Linked DNA regions of Canis lupus familiaris. The protein of the gene in region 1 binds, or shares a complex with, the protein of each later gene. Links are inferred from orthologs where the notes say so. Each region holds a gene or a part of one and is shown in the gene's direction. Other genes may lie near its edges. The genes, in order: BDP1 and BRF2.

Region 1 (4,405 bases):
TCCTGTCTTGATGACATAGCAAGGATTAATTAATAAAGGATTAGATTCCTTTGACATTTTGTTATTAACAGGATATTCTTGTAAAATCTTGTCCTTCAAAAAAAAAAACAAAACAAAAAAAAAAAACAAAAAAAAAACTTGTCTTTCCAAGAAAGAAGTCAGACCTGTCTGTTGCAATTGCAATGAGTCAGGGGATTTATATAGCCGGCAAGAACTGGCCCATACTGTGTAAAACCGATGTCATCTATGGCCATTTTTCCTCTCCTTATAGAAACCTTCCCTAACCATCCTACTAAAGCAAGCCAGCCTTCCCTTAATCTCTGTGATACTATCCTTTACGTTTCTTTTATAGCATTTAATAAATTCTTAAGTTATCTTGTTCTTTTGTTGTACTCTTTTTCCCTCCCCAACCCAGAACGCCTTGCTTATGGCTCCACTGCCATCTCCCGAAACAGATTAGGGAATACTTATGTTAATTTACTACATAACTATATACTTTTAGCTATAATAATTTCTGAACAGGTACATTAAAAAGTAAACAAAGGTACAAAGTGAATGGTCTTCCTCCCATGACATGTTCCTCTTGGAGGAGGTCACTTACCAATTCCTTCACACCTGAATTTGTCATCTATGTTCTACTCACTTTAGAATATCTTTTTTTTCCTTTTTTTTTACGATTTTATTTATTTATTCATGAGAGAGAGAGGCAGAGACACAGGCAGAGGGAGGAGCAGGCTCCATGCAGGGGGCCCCATGAAAGACACCCCCCCCCCTCCAGGATCAGGCCCTGGGCTCAAGGCAGGTGCCCAACCGCTGAGCCCCCCAGGCGTCCCTACTCACTTTGGAGTTTCTAAGTTCTGGGGATGTGCTGGTGAACAGGCGCTACTCTGCAAGACCTTATTTTTGTAAAGTAAAAAAAAAAATTTTAAGTACTCTAACACCTCCCCGCCCCCCCCCCCCCCCAGGCGTGGGGCCTGAACTCACGACCCCCGGATCAAGAGTCCCACGCTCCTCTGGCTGAGCAGGCGGGCGCCGCCTGATTGCACCGGTCTCCTCACGGTTTGCGCCCAGCGGCTTGCAAGACTCCCTCTCTGCGCCCCCGCCAGTAACTCGCAGGGATTCCTGCGGCGGGGGTGGGACGGAGGAACGCTTCGCCGCGCAGTCCCATTTCCGGTTTGCTGGGGCCCCTGTAGCTTGACAGTTACCATGGCTCCGGGAGCCGTGCGTCTGACGTCCTTCCGCGGCGCTGGCTGATGGCGTCATCAGTTCCGGCGCCCCCCCGAGGGCGGGGAAGCGAGGTACGGCGGAGACTTAGCTCTCAGTGTGGCAGGGTCATGAAGAAGAGGCGGCGGCGGGAGGAAGGCGGCGGCGGCGGGGGTGCGAAGCTGCGGTAGCTGCCCGCGGGGCTGGTGGCGTGGCCGCGTGGAGAGGGCGTAGCTCTTAATCCCTTCCCCGGGCAGCGGCCGGGGCTCGGGGCTGAGAGCGGCCGCGGGGCCGCCTCCCCGGGCCCCCTGGCTCCGCCATGTTCCGCAGGGCACGCCTTAGCGTGAAGCCGAATGTCAGGCCTGCCGCAGGCGCCCGGGCTTCCACCGCCCCCACCGCGCACCGCAGGCCGGAGGCGCCCGGGCCCCAGGCCCCGGCGGCGGCCCCTTCCCCGAAGCCCGCGGAGTCCACGGATGTGCCGGCGGCCGCCTGCGGGGGGAGCGAGCCCCGGGCGGAGGCCCCCCGGAGCAGGTAAGCGCGCGCGGAGGGGCGCACCCCGGCGGGCCCGACCCGCGAGAGCCGACCGCAGGCTGCGCGGTGGAGGACTCCGCCGCCGGCACCCGCGCGCGGGAGGCCCTGGGAGCCCGCCGCGAGCTGCAGTGTGTGGCTCCGTCCGCAAGGCGTGGGCTGTGTGGTCGGGAGCGGCCCGCGTCCTCCGCAGCGGTGGGAGCTCCGGAGGGGACGACTTGGAAGCCCAAGGTGCCCACACGTGCTGTCGTTCATGGCACGGCTCGGGCGGCCTTCCCGTCGTTTCTCTCCCGCTGGAGTCCTCGGCGAGGAGCTGTAGTTCCTACAAATTTGAAAACACTCATTTCTCCCTAAAAGACCAGTGTGACTTCGGCTCTGCTGATTTGTGGCCGTGGAAGGGAGATGTTCCTTGCCTTTTTTTTTTTTTTTTTAAGATGTTATTTATTTTTTAGTGAGAGACAGAGAGGCAGAGGGAGAAGCAGGCTCTCTGCGGGGAGCCCGATGTGGGACTCCATCCCGGGATCCCGGGGTCACGCCCTGGGCCGAAGGCAGGTGCTCAACCGCTGGGCCACCCGGGTGTCCCAGGATATGGATTTTCACTTTTTTTAAAAAAAGATTTTATTTATTTATTCATGAGAGAGACAGAGAGAGAGAGGCAGAGACACAGAGAGAGAGGCAGAGACCCAGGCAGAGGGAGAAGCAGGCTCCATGCAGGGAGCCCGACGTGGGACTCGATCCCGGGACCTCGGGGTCACGCCCTGGGCTGAAGGCAGGTGCTCAACCAATGAGCCACCCGGGTGTCCCAGGATACGGATTTTCACTTTTTTTTTTTTTTTTTAAGATTTTATTTATTTATTCATGAGACACACAGAGAGAGAGGCAGAGACCCAGGCAGAGGGAGAAGCAGGCGCCATGCGGGGAGCCTGACACGGGACTTAGTCCTGGGTCTCCAGCATCAGGCCCTGGACTCAAGACAGTGCTAAACCGCTGAGCCACCCGGGCTGCCTCTTGTTCCTTGCTTTGGTTTGAGGGCCTGCCCCTTTAGAGTGGCCTTTCCGAAGGGAAAAAACATGTGCCAGGACCACATTTGGATTCAGGGTGTTTTTGTTTTTTCTTTATTTAACCGTTTACTAGACGTGGCCAGGCAGGATTTATTTACCTGTTAAAATGGAGATAACATTACCTGCTTTGGAGAGTTGTCGTGGAGTTTTAGGAAAAACCTGACAAGCTGTCTTGTGTAGGACCTTGCAGAATAGTTGTGTACAAAAAATTCATTGTTTAAAGTAAATGTGATGGTAGTGATTAACAAAGTAATTAAAGTTAAGACATGTTGGGCTATTAATAGCCTCTCTTTCTATAATATATACGTGAGGAGAACAATAAAACCTGACCCTATTAAATGACAATGAGATGGTGTAAATTCTCTGTATGCTCTGACAGGAAGGTGAAGATTTTATTCCTTTTTTTTTGTCCAATCTTCCTCTGTTCGCCTAAACTGGTGCTGGGTACGGGGTGTTATTTTGCTAGCTTAGTGATGCTTTAGAGATTTCCAGGTTTCTTACATGAATATTTCTTTCAAACTTCTAAAAAAGGAAATACAGGTATTAGTCATTGTTAATAAAGTTGGCAGAGATCCTGTTAATTACACATTAGTGTGTGATGATTGTAATTTAATGAATTACTGAGGTTCTGTATTCGAGACATTTGAGGTTGAGGATATTTGGTTTTTGACAGTGGGCATTTATGGAGTACTTTAGATTTTTTTTGTTGTTTAGTATGGTGTTTTGTGTGTGTGTGTGTGTGTGTGTGTGTGTGTGTGTGTGTTTGCAGTTATAAATGTAAGTGGTAAAAACAAGAATGTAAGTTTTGTCCTTAAAGTTTCAATGAAAAAAAAAAGTTTCAATGAAATTGAGTGAAATGGCACATGATGCAAGGATCAGGTTATAAAGGCTGAGATAAGAATTTAAATTGGAGATTTCTTTGGGTGCCTGGCTGGTTTAGTAGGAAGAGTATGAGACTCTTGATCTTGGGATTTTAAGTTTGGGTCCTACATTGAGTGCAGAGATTACGGGGGGGCGCGGGGGGGCTTTCAAAAAGGAAATTTCTTGGAAAGGTTATTCTATAGTTTTAGGCATTTTCCATTTTTATATAAAACTAATTATAACATGAAAAATGTAGACTGCTTTTAATTCTTATCTAATTATCTCTGACTTAATTTGCTTTCAGGCCTTTTTGTTTTCTTTTTTTTTTTTTTTTTAAAAGATTTTATTTATTCATAGAGACAGAGAGAGAGAGAGAGAGAGACAGGCAGAGGGAGAAGCAGGCTCCACGCAGGGAGCCTGATGTGGGACTCGATCCCAGGTCTCCAGGATCAGGCCCTGGGCTGAAGGCGGCGCTAAACCGCTGAGCCACCAGGGCTGCCCCCAGGCCTTTTTGTTTTCTTTTCAAAGATTTTTTTATTTATTCACGAGAGACAGAGAGGGAGAGAGGCAGAGACACAGGCAGAGGGAGAAGCAGGCTCCATGCAGGGAGCCTGATGCGAGACTCGATCCTGGGACCCCAGGGTCACGCCCTGGGCCCAAGGTAGGGGCTAAACTGCTGAGCCACCCAGAGATCCCGTTTTCAGGCCATTTTTGAAATATGTATATCCAATCTGAGCTACATACCTAATATG
Region 2 (4,507 bases), on another chromosome or scaffold:
GGTCCAGAGAACTCATAGTCTCGTTAGGCATACAGGGAATCCCATGTACCTGACCACTGATTATAGCTTTTTCAAAAGAACCTATAGCCCTGTCTAATCAGATTCTTTACTTTTTGAGGCTCAAATCTTCTGAGGAATCTCCGGGTACATGGTCATTGTGTCACCTGTCTCTTCAGACTAATAAGCTTCATTTTTTATTTTGAAAATTTTTCAGTTCTAGAATGCAAAATTTACTAGTCTTCTAAGGAAGGCAGCTGTGACCCGTATCTTACTCCTCAAGGGAGTATCCCAATTTATGAAGGTCTAACAAAACATACTTACTTCTCAATTAATTCTGCATAGAGCTGTCCAATCATTTTCTGTTCTCAGTGGAAAATGCTGATCTTACCCTTCCAACCCCAATCCCCCGTATAAGGTTGAAATTGAGCCCATGACAGTTCTTAAAAACTGCTAATGCCAGGAGCCTACCTGAAATTCTCCACTGTCAGCCCGAGAAACAGACTCTCCACACAGATTTCGTGCACCTGCTGTGCTGACTCCCATCTGCCTTCTTGGAGTTTTAAGGAACAGACTTCTGGTGGTCCTTGCCATTTAACTCAACTTTCTTGTTTTTCAGACACAGCTGATTCTAAAACGTTCAAGCATTAAAAAATCTTTATTCTTGGCATGTCCTGGTGGCTCAGTGGTTGAGCGTCTGCCTTCAGCTCTAGGTGTGATCCTGGGATCAAGTCCTACAGGGAGTCTGCTTCTCCCTCTGCCTATGTCTCTGCCTCTCTCTGTGTGTCTGTCATGAATAAATAAATAAAATCTTTATTTGCTTAGAAAATACACTCTTCTGGTGACTTAATGTGTATTCAAACATAACATACATAATTTAAAATTTGTAAGCTTGGTTTGCATCACTGATTCTTTGACTTATACTATACCAACAAAGGAGCTTGGGAGCCAGACTCTTGGAATATCTGAAAACTCAGCTTTTAAAAACATCCAAGTCGGCTTGGAACCTCCAGTTTGCCCAAAGCCTCAGCACCTCATGTTCTTTCCCTCCCAATTCCCTCAGACATTCCTTGCCTTCTCTCTGAGAGCATGAGTTTGCCACTCTGAACTTTCTATAGTTGAGAAAAATAGACTGCAAAGAGGGGAAACAACATGTCTGGCACAATGTCCTCTCACTACAATATTCTTCCTTTTACGCATACTTTGTACTACGGTCCAAATCAACATTTGCTACCAAAGAGAAATAGATAATTTACGATTCCCCTAGAGTTTCAGAAAGGAGAGTTGTTTGGGAACGGCAACAATTTCTTGTCTGTGATGTGTGTCCCTGTAGGTAGAATTTCACCCACTCAACCCCCAGTCTGCTCCACTTCAATCGGACCACAGATACCACGGGACGCCAAGACGCGGTCCAGGCCAGGAACCTCTTTTTATAGCTCACGTTTCTACCCGAGCCGTCAGGGAAACGGACCGGAAGTGTGCGAGGCCTGCCGCCCGAACTACCTACGTATCCCGCGGTTGCTCTGGAGCCGGAAGAGGAAGGTGCACCGCGTAGAAGGCTTCCCTCCTAGTTCCGGTTTCTCCACCGTTGCTCTTGCAGGCGTGGGCCCGGGTGCCCGGGGGCTTCTGCGGCTCTGGGTTGTGAGATGCCGGGTGGAGGCCGCTGCCCCGACTGCGGGTCCGCTGAGCTCGTGGACGACTCGCACTACTCGCAGAGCCAGCTGGTGTGCTCAGACTGTGGCTGCGTGGTCACCGAGGGAGTCCTTACGACCACCTTCAGCGACGAAGGCAACCTCCGAGGTACCCAGGGCTGTGGGTGTGCGGGCCGCGGCGGTGGAGGGGCTGTCGTCAGATTCCGGCCTGCGGGAGGGCGGAGGCTGCCGTTCGTCTGCTTTTCTAGCACTTGGTGCGACATCTGCCATGTGTTAGGTATTATATATATTATATATACATGTACCTAATATATATATGTATTAGGTGTAACATGTATAAATGCTAGGTATAGTAAGCGTTGACCAAATGAAACAGAAACAAAGTACACTCGGTTTACCTAGTCTGGATATGACGGAAGGGTTATGGGTCAATTCTTTACAAATACAGACAAGACTATTATCCCGAAATAGTTTTTAGCACTAATTGGCAAAAACACCCCCCTTTTTTTTCTTTGTTTTCCGAGTGCCTGACCAGTTCAGCCCTCAAAATCATGACTCAGGAAAATTGCCCGGGATTGGATACACAGGAGGGAGGGCTGAGAATTTGGAGCACCTGAGGCCACTTTAGTGCCATGGTGACCTTCTCAGTCTCTGTATTTCTACTGCTTGTGGGCATAGAAGGCCAGATGGACTCTTAACGTGCAAAGTGGGGCACCTTCTGTGAGATAAGGAATGGAGCCTAATGATAGGAATTCTCCCCAGTTTTGTGTGGCGGGTGGCCAGGAGTTTGGTGAATAAAGGTTGAACAAGCTGTTTGTTGTCCGTTGCCTTACAGAAGTAACCTATTCCCGAAGCACAGGGGAAAACGAACAAGTCAGTCGCAGCCAGCAACGAGGTGAGAATCAACCTTTTATGATACAGAAAATTCTCTGGAAGGTCCAGCCCATCCTCTTGCTTTTCCTGTTTTCACTATTACTGTGTACAGTAGAGCCTAAAAGAATGGCAGTTGGAAATAAAGAATGGAGGTGGTTCTGAGAGAGTCTATGGTTCTGATTCTGTATACAGGTTGGGTGTGTCAGGGCTGTGTGACATGTAGACTCCAACATCCCAGATCACACTCCCGCGTGGCTCTGAATCAGACTGACCTCCAAAGAATGGTGGGTTGAAATGTAACTTCTTTGCACAGATTTCTTTGTGCCTTTAGAATGACCTCACCAAATGTCACTCTTGTCATTTTAGAAAGTTACATTATTTGTGCATCTGGTGTTGGAGGCAAGTTTAGCAGAAATTGCTAGGAGCTGCACAGTAGTGCCTTTGACTTTGACACCCCCCCTCCCCCCAACTCTTGCTGTGGGCTTTCTTAGGTCTCCGCAGAGTGAGAGACCTCTGTCGAGTTCTGCAGCTGCCATCAACCTTTGAGGACACAGCAGTTGCCTACTACCAGCAAGCGTACCGGCACTCTGGCATCCGTGCTGCCAGGCTGCAAAAGAAGGAAGTGTTGGTTGGCTGCTGTGTCTTAATTACCTGCCGACAGCATAACTGGCCCCTCACCATGGGAACCATCTGCGCCCTGCTGTATGCAGATTTGGAAGTGTTTTCTGGCACCTACATGCAGATAGTGAAGCTCCTGGGGCTGGATGTGCCATCCCTGTGCTTGGCGGACCTGGTGAAGACTTACTGTAGCAGGTAAGCTGCCCGCTGGCAAACTCTGGGACAGGCTGGCTCCTTAGAACCCAGTCCTTTGAGCTTTGCTGTCTCTTTTTCACCAAAGCCCATTTAAAGGAATTTGGGAGAAAAATGTAGTCTCCCTCTCTTGTGCCCAGTACTAATAAGGTTAATCCCATTTTACATTTCTAGACTGCTGTCATTTCCAAATCCCTTTGCCCTCACTGCAACCTAATGACATAAGCAAAGTAGGTGTCAGCCTTGGCAGAGGGCCACTGAGTTGTGGCTCTTGTGTTGTGCATAGCCCGCTTGGCTGTGTGCACCAGCCCTGCCTCAGCAGGATCATCTGTGAATGGAGGCAACAGGATGTTAGTCATGGGGCTGGAAGCAGAAACTAATGTCTTTTTTTTAAGTAGCTGTGGTGTTTTCTTTCTTCTGAAAAATACAGTATAAAGCAAAGGTTATCAGTGTTAAGTGGCTTTGGGTTTGCATGGTTACTTCTTAGCTGGATGAATATGGGCCAGTTTTTTTTAAACTATATGTATTTTTAGTGGGGTGTAGAGGAGATGACAGGAGAACATTTGTAAAGCGCTCAGAATGATGGCCGGTGGAGGTGCTGACAAACGTGAGCTTTCTTGTGCATTTTCCTGCCCTTCGCTGCACAAGTAGAAGACTCAGCCTGTCTTCTCTCTGCACCTCTATGAACTCCGTACCTGGCCAGCGAACTTGAGCATTCCAAGAGGAGAGAAGAGCTTGCCCACTGCGAGTGTACTCCTTTTCCTTGCTTTGGAAGAGCAGCCCTCTCCCCTGTAGGCATGGAGACCAGACTCTCATTTTCTTTTTTCAGCTTCAAACTGTTCCAAGCTTCCCCGTCTGTTCCAGCCAAATATGTGGAGGACAAAGAGAAGATGCTGTCGCGAACATTGCAGTTGGTGGAGCTGGCAGACGAGACATGGTTGGTGACCGGGCGGCACCCCTTGCCTGTCATCACCGCTGCTACCTTCCTGGCTTGGCAGTCACTGCAGCCTTCGGAGCGTCTGACCTGTTCACTTGCCCGATTTTGTAAATTGGCAAATGTGGACCTGCCCTGCCCTGCTTCCTCCCGCCTGCAGGAGCTGCTGGCTGTGCTGCTGCGGATGGCCGAGCAGCTGGCCTGGCTGCAGGTTCTGAGGCTTGACAAACGGTCTGTGGTG

The links.
Region 2: BDP1 (region 1) and BRF2 share a complex: the UniProt entries of both Homo sapiens proteins name them as parts of the TFIIIB complex. The link is inferred for Canis lupus familiaris from reciprocal best matches to the Homo sapiens genes BDP1 and BRF2.

The regions. Positions count from the first base shown.
Region 1 is NC_049223.1:53,887,314-53,891,718, forward strand, and holds the start of BDP1 (transcription factor TFIIIB component B'' homolog), read left to right. Parts: upstream 1-1,308; 5' UTR 1,309-1,522; coding exon 1,523-1,734; intron 1,735-4,405. UniProt on the Homo sapiens protein: General activator of RNA polymerase III transcription. Requires for transcription from all three types of polymerase III promoters. Requires for transcription of genes with internal promoter elements and with promoter elements upstream of the initiation site.
Region 2 is NC_049237.1:28,279,672-28,284,178, forward strand, and holds the start of BRF2 (transcription factor IIIB 50 kDa subunit), read left to right. Parts: upstream 1-1,546; 5' UTR 1,547-1,643; coding exon 1,644-1,797; intron 1,798-2,484; coding exon 2,485-2,544; intron 2,545-3,013; coding exon 3,014-3,335; intron 3,336-4,161; coding exon 4,162-4,507. UniProt on the Homo sapiens protein: General activator of RNA polymerase III transcription. Factor exclusively required for RNA polymerase III transcription of genes with promoter elements upstream of the initiation sites.